4 linked regions of the Saccharomyces cerevisiae S288C genome follow. The protein of the gene in region 4 binds, or shares a complex with, the protein of the main gene of each other region. Each region holds a gene or a part of one and is shown on either strand. Other genes may lie near its edges. A codon is read from its position in the direction of its gene.

The links.
Region 1: HSK3 (region 4) and ASK1 share a complex: the UniProt entries of both Saccharomyces cerevisiae proteins name them as parts of the DASH complex.
Region 2: the proteins of HSK3 (region 4) and DAD4 are in contact, whole or in part, in a cryo-EM structure (PDB 8Q84), measured with the Saccharomyces cerevisiae proteins. Residues at the interface, in NP_690844.1 of Saccharomyces cerevisiae: Asn2 (codon at 707), Asn4 (codon at 701), Lys5 (codon at 698), Gln8 (codon at 689), Tyr9 (codon at 686), Gln11 (codon at 680), Leu12 (codon at 677), Glu15 (codon at 668), Leu16 (codon at 665), Glu18 (codon at 659), Leu19 (codon at 656), Asn22 (codon at 647), Leu23 (codon at 644), Glu25 (codon at 638), Thr26 (codon at 635), Gln29 (codon at 626), Leu30 (codon at 623), Ile32 (codon at 617), Met33 (codon at 614), Gln36 (codon at 605), Asn40 (codon at 593), Leu41 (codon at 590), Gln44 (codon at 581), Leu45 (codon at 578), Val48 (codon at 569), His49 (codon at 566), Ser51 (codon at 560), Trp52 (codon at 557), Ile58 (codon at 539), Glu62 (codon at 527); in NP_710144.3 of Saccharomyces cerevisiae: Glu6 (codon at 1,454), Gln9 (codon at 1,445), Ala10 (codon at 1,442), Leu13 (codon at 1,433), Ser14 (codon at 1,430), Ile16 (codon at 1,424), Ile17 (codon at 1,421), Val20 (codon at 1,412), Lys21 (codon at 1,409), Leu23 (codon at 1,403), Asn24 (codon at 1,400), Val27 (codon at 1,391), Leu30 (codon at 1,382), Asn31 (codon at 1,379), Leu34 (codon at 1,370), Val35 (codon at 1,367), Asn38 (codon at 1,358), Asn41 (codon at 1,349), Leu44 (codon at 1,340), Glu45 (codon at 1,337), Met47 (codon at 1,331), Gly48 (codon at 1,328), Ala49 (codon at 1,325), Cys51 (codon at 1,319), Asp52 (codon at 1,316), Tyr54 (codon at 1,310), His55 (codon at 1,307), Leu72 (codon at 1,256).
Region 3: the proteins of HSK3 (region 4) and SPC19 are in contact, whole or in part, in a cryo-EM structure (PDB 8Q84), measured with the Saccharomyces cerevisiae proteins. Residues at the interface, in NP_690844.1 of Saccharomyces cerevisiae: Met1 (codon at 710), Asn2 (codon at 707), Lys5 (codon at 698), Gln6 (codon at 695), Tyr9 (codon at 686), Asn10 (codon at 683), Leu12 (codon at 677), Ala13 (codon at 674), Leu16 (codon at 665), Arg17 (codon at 662), Leu19 (codon at 656), Gln20 (codon at 653), Leu23 (codon at 644), Gln24 (codon at 641), Thr27 (codon at 632), Leu30 (codon at 623), Asp31 (codon at 620), Ser34 (codon at 611), Asn38 (codon at 599), Val42 (codon at 587), Lys47 (codon at 572), Ile54 (codon at 551); in NP_010487.3 of Saccharomyces cerevisiae: Met1 (codon at 3,404), Ala4 (codon at 3,413), Leu5 (codon at 3,416), Gln7 (codon at 3,422), Ser8 (codon at 3,425), Leu10 (codon at 3,431), Ala11 (codon at 3,434), Leu12 (codon at 3,437), Gly14 (codon at 3,443), Thr15 (codon at 3,446), Val18 (codon at 3,455), Leu19 (codon at 3,458), Ser22 (codon at 3,467), Ser25 (codon at 3,476), Leu26 (codon at 3,479), Ala29 (codon at 3,488), Ser33 (codon at 3,500), Leu36 (codon at 3,509), Met40 (codon at 3,521).

Annotation. Positions count from the first base shown.
Region 1 is NC_001143.9:338,326-343,370, forward strand, and holds ASK1 (Ask1p), read right to left. Parts: upstream 2,222-5,045; coding exon 1,343-2,221; downstream 1-1,342. Other genes in the region: DNA damage-responsive RNA polymerase-degradation factor DEF1, read right to left, coding at 1-428; MDM35 (Mdm35p), read right to left, coding at 857-1,117; SFK1 (Sfk1p), read left to right, coding at 2,987-4,048; LPX2 (Lpx2p), read right to left, coding at 4,527-5,045. UniProt on the Saccharomyces cerevisiae protein: Component of the DASH complex that connects microtubules with kinetochores and couples microtubule depolymerisation to chromosome movement; it is involved in retrieving kinetochores to the spindle poles before their re-orientation on the spindle in early mitosis and allows microtubule depolymerization to pull chromosomes apart and resist detachment during anaphase.
Region 2 is NC_001136.10:1,107,030-1,111,379, forward strand, and holds DAD4 (Dad4p), read right to left. Parts: upstream 1,470-4,350; coding exon 1,251-1,469; downstream 1-1,250. Other genes in the region: auxilin-like protein SWA2, read right to left, coding at 1-1,072; asparaginase ASP1, read left to right, coding at 1,673-2,818; mitochondrial 54S ribosomal protein mL38 MRPL35, read left to right, coding at 3,560-4,350. UniProt on the Saccharomyces cerevisiae protein: Component of the DASH complex that connects microtubules with kinetochores and couples microtubule depolymerisation to chromosome movement; it is involved in retrieving kinetochores to the spindle poles before their re-orientation on the spindle in early mitosis and allows microtubule depolymerization to pull chromosomes apart and resist detachment during anaphase.
Region 3 is NC_001136.10:852,914-857,314, forward strand, and holds SPC19 (Spc19p), read left to right. Parts: upstream 1-3,403; coding exon 3,404-3,901; downstream 3,902-4,401. Other genes in the region: RKM2 (protein-lysine N-methyltransferase), read right to left, coding at 1-1,059; VPS64 (Vps64p), read right to left, coding at 1,366-3,180; RAV2 (Rav2p), read right to left, coding at 3,985-4,401. UniProt on the Saccharomyces cerevisiae protein: Component of the DASH complex that connects microtubules with kinetochores and couples microtubule depolymerisation to chromosome movement; it is involved in retrieving kinetochores to the spindle poles before their re-orientation on the spindle in early mitosis and allows microtubule depolymerization to pull chromosomes apart and resist detachment during anaphase.
Region 4 is NC_001143.9:184,303-186,861, forward strand, and holds HSK3 (Hsk3p), read right to left. Parts: upstream 711-2,559; coding exon 501-710; downstream 1-500. Other genes in the region: cyclin-dependent serine/threonine protein kinase CTK1, read left to right, coding at 1-242; mitochondrial 54S ribosomal protein mL60 MRPL31, read right to left, coding at 984-1,379; CMC1 (Cmc1p), read left to right, coding at 1,655-1,990; APL2 (Apl2p), read right to left, coding at 2,158-2,559. UniProt on the Saccharomyces cerevisiae protein: Component of the DASH complex that connects microtubules with kinetochores and couples microtubule depolymerisation to chromosome movement; it is involved in retrieving kinetochores to the spindle poles before their re-orientation on the spindle in early mitosis and allows microtubule depolymerization to pull chromosomes apart and resist detachment during anaphase.

The sequences.
Region 1 (5,045 bases), 150 kb from region 4:
ACATGTTTCCCGGTTGTATGAGCTCGTGGTGTTTGTACCTTCTTCTTATTTCTGGCTTGAGTATAATTGTTACTACTGTTATGCTTTGTAGAAGTAAAAGAATTGCTATTATTAGAACTCTTATATGTAATATCATCTTCTGGATTTGGCAAATGTTGTTGAGGGACATATGAGTGTTGTTGCTCCTTTTTTTCATATTTTTCCTTCTTAGCAGGTTTCTTTACTTCATCCCATCTTGTCACTGCGCCGGAAGTAATTTTATCAATTATAGTTTCCAAATCATCATATTCTTGAACTATATCAATTAAATCATCACTCGTCCAGTCAGGGAACAATTCTGTAAGCGTATCTATTTTGGACTTTAGCGCAGGATTTAGTTTTTTACTACTATGACTATTATGATTAGACTTCCTAAATTGTGTAGACATTATATATATATGATGATGTAGATTATATTGAGAAAACGACCAAACAAAAATAAATATGTAAGTACTTTATGATGGTGATTTTTTTGGGGTAATTGGTAAGAGTTTTTCTTGTAGCTTCAAAAGATCAAATATAAAATACGAATGTTTCTGAAATTACTGTAAAAGACTTAGGAAAAGGAATGAAACGTTTATATGGGAGAGAACGAAAATTTTTCCTTTTCCCGCCACTACTTTTTGCCACCATTTCCCGTTATTTATTTGGGCGAGTGCTCACCTCCGACGGAATCACGGGTGACGGATATCCTAAAAAGGTAAAGAATTGAAACAGATCTATTAATATACGGATCACTATACATTATTATAAGTCGATATTGCAGTATTAGTATTTACATGTTGAATAATGCACATTCTGTGCTAAAATATATACTTCATTTGTCAACTTCTTTTAGTTTGCCGCCATTTTCAAACGGCGCCTCCTCCCTAGCTTCGTCTAGAGCAGGCTTAATACCTTGTTTGACGAGAGCTGCGTTGACACATGTAGTATAAGCGTACCATTGTTTTGAGCACTCGTTCTCAACGGATTTTCCCTTCAGGAATTTTTCGCTATACCATTCATTAAAACAACTATCGTATTTCGTCTTCAGGTCAGTGCATTCAGGCGCAAAACTAGCTGACATTATATTCCCCATATAAAACTGGTATTATTGTTATTGTAATTCAAGTTAAAACACAAACAGATGTTTTCTAATGACCTCTCCCGGCATATATCTGGCGCACTTAGAATAAATTTCTACATGCAAATACTCTGAATATTCTGAATGTGGCTCTCCCTATATCGAAGAAAAAATATAGCGGGCCCATTACCCTGCGTTCTGATATTCATCACTAGTAAAAATTGTATGTACTTATTTATTCTATCTATTCGTAGAAAAATGAATGATGGTCCCAGGCTTTGGTACTTCTTTCGTACTCTCTTCTTCATCGGGCCCTTCGTTGTTATCATCCGCTTGTCCCTTCGGGTGGTGGTGCCCCTGCTTCAGAGGCGAGCTCTCTATATTATTGCTGTTCTCATCGTCGTTATCGCCGTCGTTATTAATATGTTCTTCATGAGCCAGTTGCTTCCGCATTTTATTGGGCACAATCGGAGACGGTACCATGCTGGAACTAGACCCGTACTGCTGCTGCAAAAGTAGCGAAATCTTTCTTTTGCGGCTTTGTCTCTGTATTGTACTTTCATCTTGCTCATCATCAGCTCCACCATGACCCTCGCCTGTAAGGTCTGTTTGCTCCCTTGAAGGCACCGCCTCTGAACCAGTATCTTCGTCGCTAGAGTCCGGAAGTTTCAATATCTGTCCCGTGGATGTTATATTCGCTGTGTGGAAATCATCTATACTGTCGTTATTAAACATAGAATGGACATCCCGGTTGACATGTACAGCTGAATCTGCCTCGTTAGGCCCATTGTCTGTCTGGGACTGCCTACTCGCCTCTTCAGCGGATGTAGGAAATATACCAACATTATTGCTCACAAGGCTTTTGACTGGAGCGTTTCCCACTGGTGCAGCTGCATTTGCCTGCAAATTCACCAGCCCAGTCTCTTGAAACATAGTCCCCAGCCATTCGGTGCTATCCATGATCCGCTCACATATTTCTGAATATGTAGCCACGTGTGGGATGATGTCCTGGGTGATCTTATGAAAGCAGAAACTCAAGTTAGAGTCTATCTTCTGCAGGTTCACTGTAATTTCTTGATCAAGTTTTTCCAATGTTTCCTCTTTGCTTGCAGAATCCATTTTTTGTGTCAACAATCCCTTATGTTGCTCTTTCCATACGTTGATCAACCTGGCTCTATTCCCACCCCAAACTGTAGATATCTATTTTGTTGATGCCTCAGCTCACCAAAACAAACCAAAAAAACGGAAAAAAAAAACGGAAAAGAACGGAAACAAACGGAAAAGAACGGAAAAGAAAACAGGAAAAACTCGCTGTTCTGTTACCCGCGCGGCACTACCGCATTTAATCGGAGTAGCTACTAATCAAGCAAGGGCCTCCGTTCCTCTATGACGCACCGGACATATCGCATTTCCACTATAATAGTGCAAGTAGGACGGGATAAGGCCCAAGATTATCAATGAAGACTAACACAACGGTCTTGCCAGCCATATCCAACTCTAAACATCTTCCACGGCTGTTCAAAAACGAAGATCTCTTACCCCTCTGCGGCTTAAGGGCTCTGTTCAATTGAAGGATCCGCGGCAGTAAAGTAAATGGATGAAAAAAAAAAACTGGAAAAATAGCAACTTTTTTCAGCCTGGAAGATTTGTCATCTAAGCGAAGGAGAATGAAACCGGAATTTTCACTCCTTCTTAGGGGCATTCAGTTTATAAATATAGTTATTCCCTGAAGTTGAGATTTACTGATTTAACATCTGGACAACTAAAAACCTAAATAATAAGACACAATTTTTTGCGGGATTTTTTTTCCTTTAGATACTTTTAACATTCATAGTAAAAAGTTCTGCTACATAGTAAAAACACATAGAAGGTACAAGCAATAGCATGATTCAATTTAAAAGTCCAGGTAACTGGCTGTTCATAGTACCCTGGATTGCCTTCATTCCATGGTATGGTATGCTGATAGCCATGCTTATTTGCTGGGCCAGTCAAGGCCATCCCATATATTGGTTCATGCACTCGGAGCAATTCCCTGTGTACATTTCAGATATAGGTGCCACTAATTTAAGGCCACTGTTTATATCGTGCGCCGGCTGGCAGGGTCTAGGCTATGTAATCACTGTTGCCCTTGAGTTTTTTCAAAGATCCGGCTATCTGCCTTTCCAACTGAAAAAAAAAGACCCTTCTATCTCTGATTCCACATCTTATGCTGAGAAATTGCACAGCGGTAAATACTTAATGCCTCCATATTACACAAAGGATGAACGGAACCTGATTTTCGCAGCTTTTGTTCTCGGCAGCATTGGTGAACTAGCCCTTTTATTCAGTTCCATCTTCTCAACCGCCCTGTACCATCGCGTTCACATTGCTATGGTCTCTGTTTTCGTCGTCTTCATGTTCCTATCCACTTGCTGCTTGATTGCAGAGTATTTCCTCATGGGAAGGCACTATGCCTCAGTCCACCCCCTAGCCAGCCCTCATTTCAATCCTCAATCATCTGAAAAAAGCTTTAACCAAGATTATAACACTGTGGATGAGCTGCCTTGGTATAAATGGAAAGGCCATGTATGGAATAAATTTACCATCAGTGCAACTCTAAAAGTTATATGGTTAACTCTCGCAGTTGTATGGGCCATTTGTTTTGGTGCTATCAATGATAGATCTAAGAGTGCTTGTTTCGAATGGTTGCTAGCATTTTGGTTTGGTATCATATTTATGATTCTTTCCGCCGACTTTTATTTAGGTGGAAGATACAGACAATCCCGCTATTTCAACCACGTGGAATCATTTTCGGGTTATTACAAGTATGACAAGGCGCTAGGCCTCTACCACAGTGAAGACGTTTTGCCTTCGGACGATAACGCCGGCGTGATTGCCACAGAAACAGCATCTTCAAATATTTACAATAATTCCTCTTCCAACGAATCTATTCAAGTAGTCGTATGACCTCATATATGCTAGACTTGACTAGGAAATACCCTCTAACCTGCAAGATATATTCATCTTTTTCTTTCCAAAGCACAATTTAATAAAACTTGCAAGAACATCGTCATCATTTCCCCCTTTTATTTTTGTTATCCCCGTTACTGATGTAACTAATACCTAATTCTATGCTTCTCAATCTGTATAGTAGTTTTCCTTTTGCCGAAGAATTTCTTCTGGCTGCTTTTTTTTTTGACATATTTCGCATTGTCCACAATGGTCATTGCGTTAAAAGCTAGAAATTAAAAAGAGAATATTGTTCAGCATATGTAGTTTAAGTTGGCAAATTTGTTCTGCTCTTGATGTACCTAGAATAAATAAATATTAATCAGAAAAATAAAAAAAAAATAAAAGTAATGAAAAAAAATATAACAAAACCAACATTAAGGTATATATTACAGCGAGTAGCGGCACCGGTTATCATCAAACGATTGATAGAAAGTTAGATAACCTCTTTGAAAAAACTTTCCTTAGGAGAGGTATTGGAATCGTTGGAATCGCGAACTCTTATCTCCGATCCCTCTTGATCGTCTTGATCATCTGTAACTTCATTACTATAATCATTTTCTATCGAACCTTGAGAAAAGCCACTAAAAGACCGGCGGCCGTTGTCGTTACAATGGGTAAAATCGTGCCCCTTTTTTGAGTCCATTTGATCCACCACAGGCTCCCTCTTCATAGTTACAGACTCTGTTTTGGATAGTCCTTGTTTATCGGCATTCTTATTAAATAAAAATTGTTCTATCGTTATGGAGCCTCCACTGTTCGCCGCTGGTCTTGAAGATTTATCCCTCTTGTTTGCGATGGAATCTTCACCGGTGCCATCTACTGCTTGGTGCACTTTATATGACTTCACTTCATCGTCAATTAATTCATTCTCCTTATTGGAGGTTGGTGTTTTAGGCCCATCATCCAACACGCCGCTAACACCAGTGATTGACCTAGCACTGGCAGAACTATC
Region 2 (4,350 bases), on a different chromosome or scaffold from region 4:
TGTTTTCATTGAAGAGGGTGCTATCTTCATTGCTTTTACTATTGGTGAGATTTCCTTCTGAAAAGTCGAGAAGACTATCCTCTATCAGGGGCTCATTTCTTCGCGAATTTTCTTCAATTAGTATACCAGAAGTCGGTGAGGAGGAGTGGGAGACATCAGGCGCTGTCCTCTTTGTTATATCAATCTTTGTTTCGAAATCAGTTAAAAGATCTTGATCCGGATTATCGGCAGGTGGTAAGTTCTCTACGACTTCATTATCTTCAAACAAAATTCTATTGGGTGAGTCGTTTACTTGAGGCAAATCATAATCCTCAACCTTATCATGAGTTTTTGAGTAATTATTCAGTCTATCATTTGCCTCAGGTGGGAAGGAGGTCCATTGGTCTACCAGTTTCTTACCCTTATTGAAAAAATCAGTGGCCATGCTGAATAAATTATTGCTATCTGTACCAACAATGTTGGATAATCCTGACTTTTCCATTTTTATACCACTTTCTTTCTTTCTTATAGCTAGATCGTTGCGCTCCTTTTGCTTTGACTTTAAAATCTCCAAATATCTTTCATAAGTTACGTCATTTTCGTAAAACTCAGTGGCTTCTTCAATTGATAAACCTAGAGACATCAATCTTGCTATTTCCATATCCTTAACTTCATCAACTAAGGCGTCATCACCATTGTAAAGGTGGTCTTCCTTGCTTCCATAGTAATCCTCATCCGGTTTTTGGATCGTATCCGTTGTAGTTACTGTGCCCATACCAAATAGTTGATTGAAGTCGTCATCGGTATTGGCAAGAGCCGAGGGAGGTGTGTTGTTGGCAGTATTAGATTTAGTGGTGCTATTAGTTGGGACCAAAGGAGGTGCAGAAAAATCTACCTTCGGTGACGGTATCAGCGGAGGAGCTGAAATTGAATGCAGACTATCATTGGGGCTTTTATCCGTCCTTGCAACATCTGCAACAGCGGAACCAGTAATGGAAGGCGAATTGCTGCTCTGAGGAGTTGTTTCCTTGGATGCAGATGCAGAGTCCTTATTCTTCAAAGAAGTCAGTAAATGTGCAAATGGATCTGACATTGATGTTGACTGTTTCTTGCAGGCTGCGTCCTTTCCAGAAGCACAGGAATAGGTTAAGCGATGTGCTGTTATTTTTTTCTCCTTTTCGCAGGAAACAGTGATCTTAAATGAATATATTAGAAACGGTATAGCATATATATATGTGTATATGAGTATGCGTATATAGAAAATTGGTGAATTAAAGAGGTGGCTTCTTGTTATTGGTCGCTTCCAGGTTGAATTGGACGCTACTATGGTAGTTATCACAAATTGCGCCCATGATTTCTAGATTTTTGTTCCGATTATTAATGGTCACAAGCTCCTGGTTAAGAATTGCCACGCTCTCATTGAGCCTTTTGACATTACCAATTATTCGCGAAAGTATGTTAGCCTGCACTTGTTCATGAGGGTTCTCCATGTTATGCTTTCTTTCCTAAACTCACTTCTTTTCCTCCCTATCTGCTTTTGTTTATTACAGTTGAAGGCTACTTGTGCCGTTCGTGTGAAAAAATACTCGATGAAAAAAAAAAAAAAAAGATGATGACGATGACTTTGTTGAAGAAATGTGTTTGAAGACAGTGGAGGATAACAGCACTCTCATCGCACTTTTGGAAGCGTATCATGAAAAGCGATTCAGTTGAAATCACTACCATCTGCCCAGATGTTGAAAATTCTCAGTTTGTTGTGCAAAGCAACTGTCCAGAGACTATTCCAGAGATTCTAAAGTCTCAAAATGCCGCTGTGAATGGCAGCGGCATCGCTTGCCAACAACGTAGCTTACCAAGAATCAAAATCTTGGGTACCGGTGGTACTATTGCATCGAAAGCTATAGACTCCTCTCAAACTGCCGGCTATCATGTTGACCTGACCATCCAAGATCTATTGGATGCCATTCCAGATATATCCAAGGTCTGTGACATTGAATATGAGCAACTATGCAACGTGGATTCTAAAGACATAAACGAGGATATTCTTTATAAAATTTATAAGGGCGTCTCAGAATCGTTGCAGGCTTTTGACGGTATAGTTATTACCCATGGGACTGATACGCTATCTGAAACTGCATTCTTTATTGAAAGTACTATTGATGCTGGCGACGTTCCTATTGTTTTTGTTGGTTCGATGCGTCCTTCAACCAGCGTTTCTGCTGATGGCCCTATGAACCTTTACCAAGCAATTTGCATTGCTTCAAATCCAAAATCTAGAGGAAGAGGTGTTCTTGTTTCCTTGAATGACCAAATTTCCTCTGGTTACTACATTACTAAGACGAATGCAAATAGTTTGGATTCTTTTAATGTTAGACAAGGCTATTTAGGAAATTTTGTCAACAATGAAATTCACTACTATTATCCTCCTGTGAAACCGCAAGGTTGCCACAAATTCAAACTGAGAGTGGACGGTAAGCATTTTAAATTACCAGAGGTTTGCATTTTATATGCTCACCAAGCCTTTCCGCCAGCTATAGTCAACTTAGTGGCAGATAAGTATGATGGTATTGTTCTTGCTACCATGGGTGCTGGTTCATTGCCGGAGGAGGTCAATGAAACCTGCATGAAATTGAGTTTGCCGATCGTATATTCCAAGAGATCGATGGATGGTATGGTGCCTATTGCCAACGTACCAAAGAAAGGTTCAAAGGAGGATAATCTCATCGCATCTGGTTATCTAAGCCCTGAAAAGAGCAGAATCTTGTTACAATTATGTTTGGCAGGTAACTACACGTTGGAAGAAATTAAACATGTTTTCACTGGCGTCTATGGTGGGTGAAAATTTTGTAATTTTTTGCATTTGTGTCGATATATATATATATATACATAGACACAGAGATAGAGATATAATTATGCAAGTCCCTGTTAATGCTAGTCTGAGATGAGTACAGGAATTCTTCATTTAGATTGTCTCGGCTATGTCACTTTTCTATCGTTTCACCTGCACATGGCTTTGTCTTGAATACTGAAGCCGTTATTATAGTTCTATCTTCATGTTTTTAGAGGTTTTTTTTAAATGAGTTTATTAAAATTAAATTTTGAATGTTATTTTTGAATAAAAATATAAAAAAAATAATATTAATAATTTTTCATTAACTGCTCATGATATCAGTGCATTAGAAAATCTTTTGGTTCCACTTTTCCTATAAAAATAATTCAAGTTTTATCATTATATCATTTTTAAATATTTGATTATCATCGCCCGCTGGTCACCGCATTTTTAAAGAATAAATATTACTTTTTTCGAAATCTGGTGTTTAAATATTTTTAAGAAAGTTAAAAAATAAGGAATATTTGATAAACAAAAAAAAATTAGCCTTTATATATCCATTTTTGTTTATGTATTCCTTTTTTTATTTTCTTATGTGTTTGGGATTTACTGTCGCAGTCTTTTCAAATTTTCCGGGCTAAACCGGAAGCCGGAAGGTCTGGGATAAGACAACAGTATCCAATACAATATCAGACTACAGCAAAAAGCTTATTCAGAGATCTTTACAGAAATCAAGGTCACTGCCGAACTATGTTACGAAGATCTATTCATACCACTAAAATCCTCCAAAAACCTAATGCTACTTCGCATATTTGGTCGGACTTTACCACAAGGCCTAGTTCACTTTCTATCCAATCTTCAAAAGTGAAAAATTACCTTTTCCAGAAGAAAGCTTCTCTAGACCCACCATCTATCAGCAGAAGAAGTAACCGTATCAAATATTCACCTCCAGAACACATTGATGAGATTTTCAGGATGAGTTATGATTTTCTTGAGCAAAGATCCAGTAAGTTTTATGAGTTGGCCAATAAGACTAAAAATCCCTTGAAGAAGGATGCACTTCTCATAAAAGCAGAGATCAATAATCCTGAGGTACAATACAATTTTCAGTTTAATAACAAGTTGAACAATGTTAAGGATATAATAGATTATGATGTGCCAGTGTACAGACATTTGGGGAAACAACATTGGGAATCGTACGGCCAGATGTTATTGATGCAAAGGTTAGAAACGTTGGCTGCCATTCCTGATACTCTTCCAACTCTGGTTCCACGGGCAGAAGTGAATATCAAATTTCCCTTCTCTACTGGTGTAAATAAGTGGATCGAACCTGGTGAATTTCTATCGTCCAATGTCACATCCATGCGTCCCATTTTCAAAATTCAAGAATATGAACTTGTGAACGTTGAAAAACAATTGTATACGGTACTGATAGTCAATCCTGATGTTCCAGATTTGAGTAATGACTCATTTAAAACGGCTTTGTGTTACGGATTGGTGAATATTAATTTGACTTATAATGACAATTTAATAGATCCAAG
Region 3 (4,401 bases), on a different chromosome or scaffold from region 4:
TTCGTCAGATATGTCTAAGTAGTTCCATTTGTTTCCGTCTACCACAAATCCATACTCGTTCAGTAAAAAATCATTTGAGTGTGCACCATAATTCAAAAAGAGCTCCTCGTTAATGTTGTCATAGAGGTGATCGCCGCATCTAATGGTAAATTGTCCAATTCCAATGATGTTTTCTCCTTCTGACCTCAACTGAGGACTTAACTGAGGATAGCAGTGCAAATCCGACTCACAAATGTGGTTCATGAAATCGACATACGGCACTAAAGTGAAATTGCTTGGGGAGTCCTCTATTTTCAACGGAATCTTCGCATAAAGACATCTTGAGTTTATAATAAAATAAACATGTACAAAAAGGGAGAATAACTCATCACTAGTAAATTTATCAGAATTTTTCGTACAGCTTAAGGAGCCGTAAATTTCATTCCATTTCAAAACCACCTCTGAAATGGTTTCCCAATCTTCTCTGACAAGGCCACTAATTCTTGCCATATGCTTTCGTGAGGCAGCAGGGAGATATTCAATCAGTGAATGGTAACGTGAATTGGGATCACAGTTCCAAATGGCTGGGATTGATCGCAGCTCCTCCATTGAGGGCCATACATCAAAGAATGGTTTCCAATCTGAGTAGATTTCATTGTGAGTCCATTTTGGCAATAGAAAATTTTCAACCAATATATAAAATGATACCAATTGAAATGATGATAAACTTAACAAAAACTCTTTCGATAATTCGGAATATAATCCATATCTAGGATCGGCCCAGGCTTTATTTTCCGCTTCAATAATATTGTCCTCATAATTGATTGGCTTTCTATCGATTGTGATACCAGGAATATTCAGCTCTTTATTAAACTTTGAAATATGATAGAGGATAGTGTGAAAATTTAGTTGCTTCGAGCTCGGTACTGATACAATGATATCGTTTTTTCTTATCGAACCGTGACTGAGGACGATCCCTCTGCCAGTTTCTGGCGATTCACAGATGCTGATGTTTGGTGCTATATAAAACTTATCTGATTTTTTCAGCCATGTTAGCAAGACATCAACCTTTCCTTCCATTCGCAATTTACTATGTAACTTTTTTGTAGATATTTATTCAAAATCTGTATCTTCGACAATCTTGAGACTATAGGTGATGAGTAGACGCATCCAGTTTTAGCTTGAGTTCCCGAATTTTTTTTTAATTTTACTTAATCAAGAAATCTTGAAAAAATGAAAAAAAAGAGTGTGGATCAGAATTGCAAAACAATATTCAAAGTATATGGAATATGTGCTTATTTATAATATATGGTTTTTCTCATTTCTACAGGACAAGCCCTGTTTTTGCTTTGTAGATTATGCTTGTAGTATTTTTCTTCTTTCGAGTTATTGTGGCAATTGCTTAACGGCCGTCGCAACTAAACCGAATGAAATGGCAACTACTCCAAAGAGCATTCCCTTACTAACTCTTGTTCTCTTGCCTTCGACGACTCCTAGTTCTTCAGTGCTTATTAATGTATCTTCGGTATCCTTTTTTTCTTCTCTTGAATCATTTTGTTTTACTTTAGCGTTATTGTCATTGTTAATACCACCATTAAAATTGCTTTGTGTTAAAACTAAATTTTTTCCCCTCTCTTCTTCTATTTGAAGGTTCAGCTCTCTTAATTCACTTTCGAGCTCCTGTAGCTTTTCATGGTTTTGTTTTTCCTTCAAGCTACATGCAGATTTTACTTTATTATTTTGTTGTTTGATTTCTTTTAATTGATCTTCCGATTCTTTGAGTAGCGCATCATTATTTTCTGATAGAGTTTTTTGTAAAGCCGTGCTCAGTTTCAGTAAATGCTTTTCATTCATATCAATCATGTGCTTATTGATGAAATCAAGGTTTATCGTATAGTTTTGCATAAAGTTTTGCATGGAATGTAATTTTTCCAGCTCTTGTTTTTCTAAGGACAGCTCAGTAGTCAAAGTTTTTATCATATTTATCAAATTTATGCTTGTACCTGCTGAATTGTTGATAAAAATTCCACTGAGAACCTCAGTTTCTGGACCTAAAATATCATCATCTAATTCTGAGTTATTAATATCTCCAAACATAGCTGCCTCAAAGGCTGCCCTTTGAGCCGTTGTTGCAGATGTTACACCAGCTTCGGTATAATTTTCCTTTAAATGAGATCGTATTGGAATGTGTTGATTATGATGACCTCTGTCTATCTTTATTCCGTTTATATTAGTGGAGTTCCCATTATTCTTATTAGTATGATCTTGTTTTTTCATCACCAAATTTGTGGGATCAGATACAGTGTTCATTAAGGGAATTACTGAAATCTCTTCCACATACGCACTGATTTTTCTATGTTCAAACTTTGAGTCAATATCAGTTCCCAAATCCACAGTATCACCAACTTTTAATTCTACATCATTTTGGCGTATTTTAACCCCATTAACAAATGTCCCATTGCTGGACTTTAGATCGCGAATATATATCTTTCCTGATGTAGGATCACAACTGAGACAAGCGTGATTTCTGGAAAGAACTCTTGAGTCAAAATTTCCGTTATCTGGTCTAACTTGTTGCGAAAATAAATCTCTTTTCGATCCTGAATTATTCTTGTTTACGCTATTGGTAACTGGTCGACCTAATTTAAGTCCGTCAGGTTTAAATGGTACAACAAGAAACTTGGTCTCAAAAGTTGCATTTAAGGATTTGAGTATAATAATATGTGTATGCTTCTTACGGGGTGATCCAGTTCTAAATAATGTCTCAGTTGAACCATTTTGGAATTTCGATAATTCGTCCAGTGCCGGTGGAGATACGGCTTCTACAGGAATTGTTACTTGTCCAGCCGGTGTTGGGTCTATTGAATTGTCATTTTGATCCTGACTTTGATTTTCAAATGGAGAACGGATTTTGTTGGCTAATATTGGGGATAATTGTTGCTGTTGTGAAACTTGATGGACGGAAGGTGGAGATGAAGCGGTAGGCAACAAATCTAAGCCTGGTGGTATGGTATACTGATCTATATCGACATTTGAACGGGATCCACTGCTTCTCGAGTTTGATCTAGCTCTTCCCATGGGCCTCTTAGGCGGTGACGTTTCTGGCGTCTTTGTCATTCCCTGCGAATTCGATTGATCCCTAACATAGGGAGAATGTTGCAGTTGCGGAGGGGGCCGTCTTCTTTTTTCCAGTTCTACCATGCCAAGAATTTACAGTTGTCTTCCTTCCTTCTAATTTCCAGTTGGTGAGACTGGTGACTATCCGTGGGGTCCGGATTGCGATTTACTTTCATTATGTATTTATTATTGGCGATTATAAAGTTTGTTTTCACAGGGCGTAGTAGTTAGCAACAATGAAAATGAATAATAAACAGATCACAGACGCATATATCTGTGTACGAATTGAAGGATAGGCAAAATAACCATGACAGATGCTTTGGAACAGAGCGTCCTTGCGTTGGAGGGAACAGTTTCAGTATTGAAGGATTCTGTGGAGTCTTTAAAATGTGCAAATGAGCCAAGCACGAACCTTGCATCGACAATGTTGCAAACCAAAAGGGTTTTCCGTTTAGTTCCCGAATATGATGTTGAAAGATCAAAATTAGATTTGATTGAAGAGGTAGAACCGCTGGTTAGGACTCTGGGCGATAAGTTACGTAAATCTATGGGTAGAATGCAAAGGGAACTCGATACTTTGCAGCAAACTTATGAATTAAACGATTTAAGGCTAAAGAAGAACATTAGTATGGATGACGATGATGCTCTGAATAGTCCAGACATGGGTCAAGAATACGAAGGCAGAGACGCGGACGACGTGGTTATGATGGCATCTTCTACTAATGAGGAATTGGAAGAATTGAAGAAACTAAAGGAAAAGAAGAAGCAACTGGAGAATAAGTTGGAAATACTCAAACAGAAATAGTTAGAAGTTTATTTTTTAAAGCATCCATTTATCTCTTTATCCAGTTTGTATTATAAATTATTGTTAATGTTATCGCTAGTAGATTACTTATATGTACTTAACTGTTTGCTAGCTACCAAATTTGCTTGATGGTTCGCCATCGAAGCTTTGAGACTGTTCAATTTGGCGCTTATACTGATCAAAGTTGGATCACTTGTAGATACTATTAACTTTTCACATTCCATGACTACCCTATTATCGAAAGTAACGCCCCTTCTTAATAATTCCTGAGCTTCTGGAAGTGTTATAGCTTCACTTTGAAAAGAAGAAATTATGTGGTTAAGTAATGTGGAATCCTGGACTTGTACACCGTTTTCTGAGAGGATCTTAGATAAAGTTTTGTTTCTTTCATTTGTCACTTGATTTCTTATTTGGTCGCAAAATGACCTGCCAGTTTTACTATCAATCTCGCACCAAGGTTTTTTAGTCACCTTAATTAGATTTCGTAGTTCTATGCAAAG
Region 4 (2,559 bases):
TGTTATGTTATGATCAGACGAAAAGGTTTAGTGCAACCGAAGCTTTACAAAGCGACTATTTCAAGGAAGAACCAAAGCCTGAACCTTTAGTTCTTGATGGATTGGTAAGTTGCCACGAATATGAAGTCAAATTGGCAAGAAAACAAAAGCGTCCTAACATACTATCCACCAACACAAACAATAAGGGTAATGGTAATAGTAATAATAATAATAATAATAATAATGACGATGATGATAAATAAGGATATATAGCCAATTGAAATAAGTAGACACAAAAAATAGATTAATAACTTATTTATTACGCGATACCCGTAAATATGATACGAACATCTAATTTCATGTGAAGCGGCCTAGTGAATAGAAGGTTTGCCTATTTTCACTCGTTCACTATACGTAACTTGGTTGTCTTTTTATGCAAGCTGTTTGTCCATCGTACCAACACCATCTCATTTCACATCTTATAAATTAGCCTGGCCACTAACTGTCTTACCTCTTATGCCTTATTGCGTTTTTCCAAGCATCTGCTCCATATAATAAATGTAACTACCTATCAACCAACTTCCATGTACCTTACCCAATTGGCCTACCAAGTTTTCGTTACATTGTTTCGACATGATATCTAGTTGTTTTGTCGTTTCCTGTAAATTCGTTTGAAGCTCTCTAAGTTCGTGTGCAAGCTGATTATACTGCCTTTGTTTGTTAGCGTTCATTCTCTTGCCTGAAATTCTTTGTGTCCTCTTCGTTTTGAAGTTCAAATGTTCTGATATGTTCTATTTCGCCATTTATCTTGTTGATCTTTCTTCCCACCTTTACAAAAAAATAACGTTGATTTCAATGGGCATGATATAATATGAGCAATACAAAACATCAAAGCCTTCTTAGGAGTGTTACTTTCAAACATGGATCTATAAACAAGTTATTCAATGATTAAACTATATACAGATGAAATTTTTATATCAATAAAACGATCTTTTACGTATCATTCAAAAGAATTTTGGGGCCTTTCTAATGGAAATCTTCGTCCACTTGGGCACCTTATGAATACCCTTCCTATAACCAACAGCTTTTTTATCAAAAGTCCAATATTTATCTTTAGAAGACATTTGATTCTCCTTTGGAAAGACTGATGGTTTGTTTAACAACCTTAACGATTTACTTCTTGGCTTGTATTTCTTTTTGCTCTCCATGGCTTCTTGATAAGTAAGACCTTTATCCTGACATCTTTGGACGTGGAGACCTAAAGTTAATTGCTTTATGACTTGATCAACGTTTCTTAATCTTTCCCTTTGACGGGTTTTTTGATGTGTGGACATTCTCCATGGAATTTTCCATAGTAGGCCACCAGCGACGGGGCTTGTTAATTTGAATGGGCCAAACATTGGAGTCTTATAACTTGGGTAGCCTTTTAAATACGTCTCCTTCCTACAAAGTACGGATATCTTTTTTCCCTCTTTGGCTTCCCTTTGTCCTTTTGTTATACCGTTCTCTTGAACTTTTTGAATGCTCTTGTACTTCTCCGATTATAAAGTTGAAAACGGAGTGCCCTGTATTTATACCTATGATAGTTTAGGAAGATTTAACCATAATTAAAGCCAGAGATACAAAAGTCGAATATCTTCAAGTTATCTGGAACAACTTTCATATATTTGATAAGATGGAGCAAAACAAAGATCCGCAGATGATCTCGAAACATAGTTCTAGGCTACCTATATGGGTGCTAAGTCCTCGCGAAGAACAACAGGCTCGCAAGAACTTGAAGACGGAAACATACAAAAAATGTGCAAATTTTGTTCAAGCAATGGCAGATTGTGCTAAGGCAAATGGAATGAAAGTTTTTCCCACTTGTGATAAGCAACGAGATGAAATGAAATCGTGCCTCCTGTTTTATCAAACAGATGAGAAATATTTAGATGGTGAAAGGGATAAAATTGTTTTAGAAAAAATCAACAAGCTTGAAAAGTTATGTCAAAAACAAAGCTCTACAAAATAAGCTGTGTTGATTGATGTTTTTGATTTACATCTTTTAAGGATTTTTTGATATATCCATTCTTGTACATAAATTATATACACACAGCCCAACAATAAAAAGGAAAAATTAATACGAAGGGTATATATGTATGGTATAATACTTAAGTTCACTACAACGGACGTTTATAGTCAGAATAAATCGAGGAGATCCTGTGACACTATATTGCCGCCCGAAACATCGGGATTGTTTTTACCACCAGAAGATATACCGTTTGAGTCGCCACCTAGTTTCAGCTCCTTCAACCCTTGTACAGCCTTGGTATCATTTGTATTTATTTGTGTGGCATCCTCAGATGGTCCGAAATCAAATAAATCATCCAAATCGCCTAAAGTTGTTAAAGTATTCAGCATTCCTGCATTTGTATTTGTTACATCATCTCTTTCATCAAAATCCAATAGCACATCATCGTTAGCCTTGCTAGAAATTTCATTTTTTGCCATGCTTTCTAATTCCTCTATATGTTTTCCTTTAACTATATTTTGAACATACTTTTTGCCTTTTCTCCTATTTGAGTCGGGCTTGAAATAAAT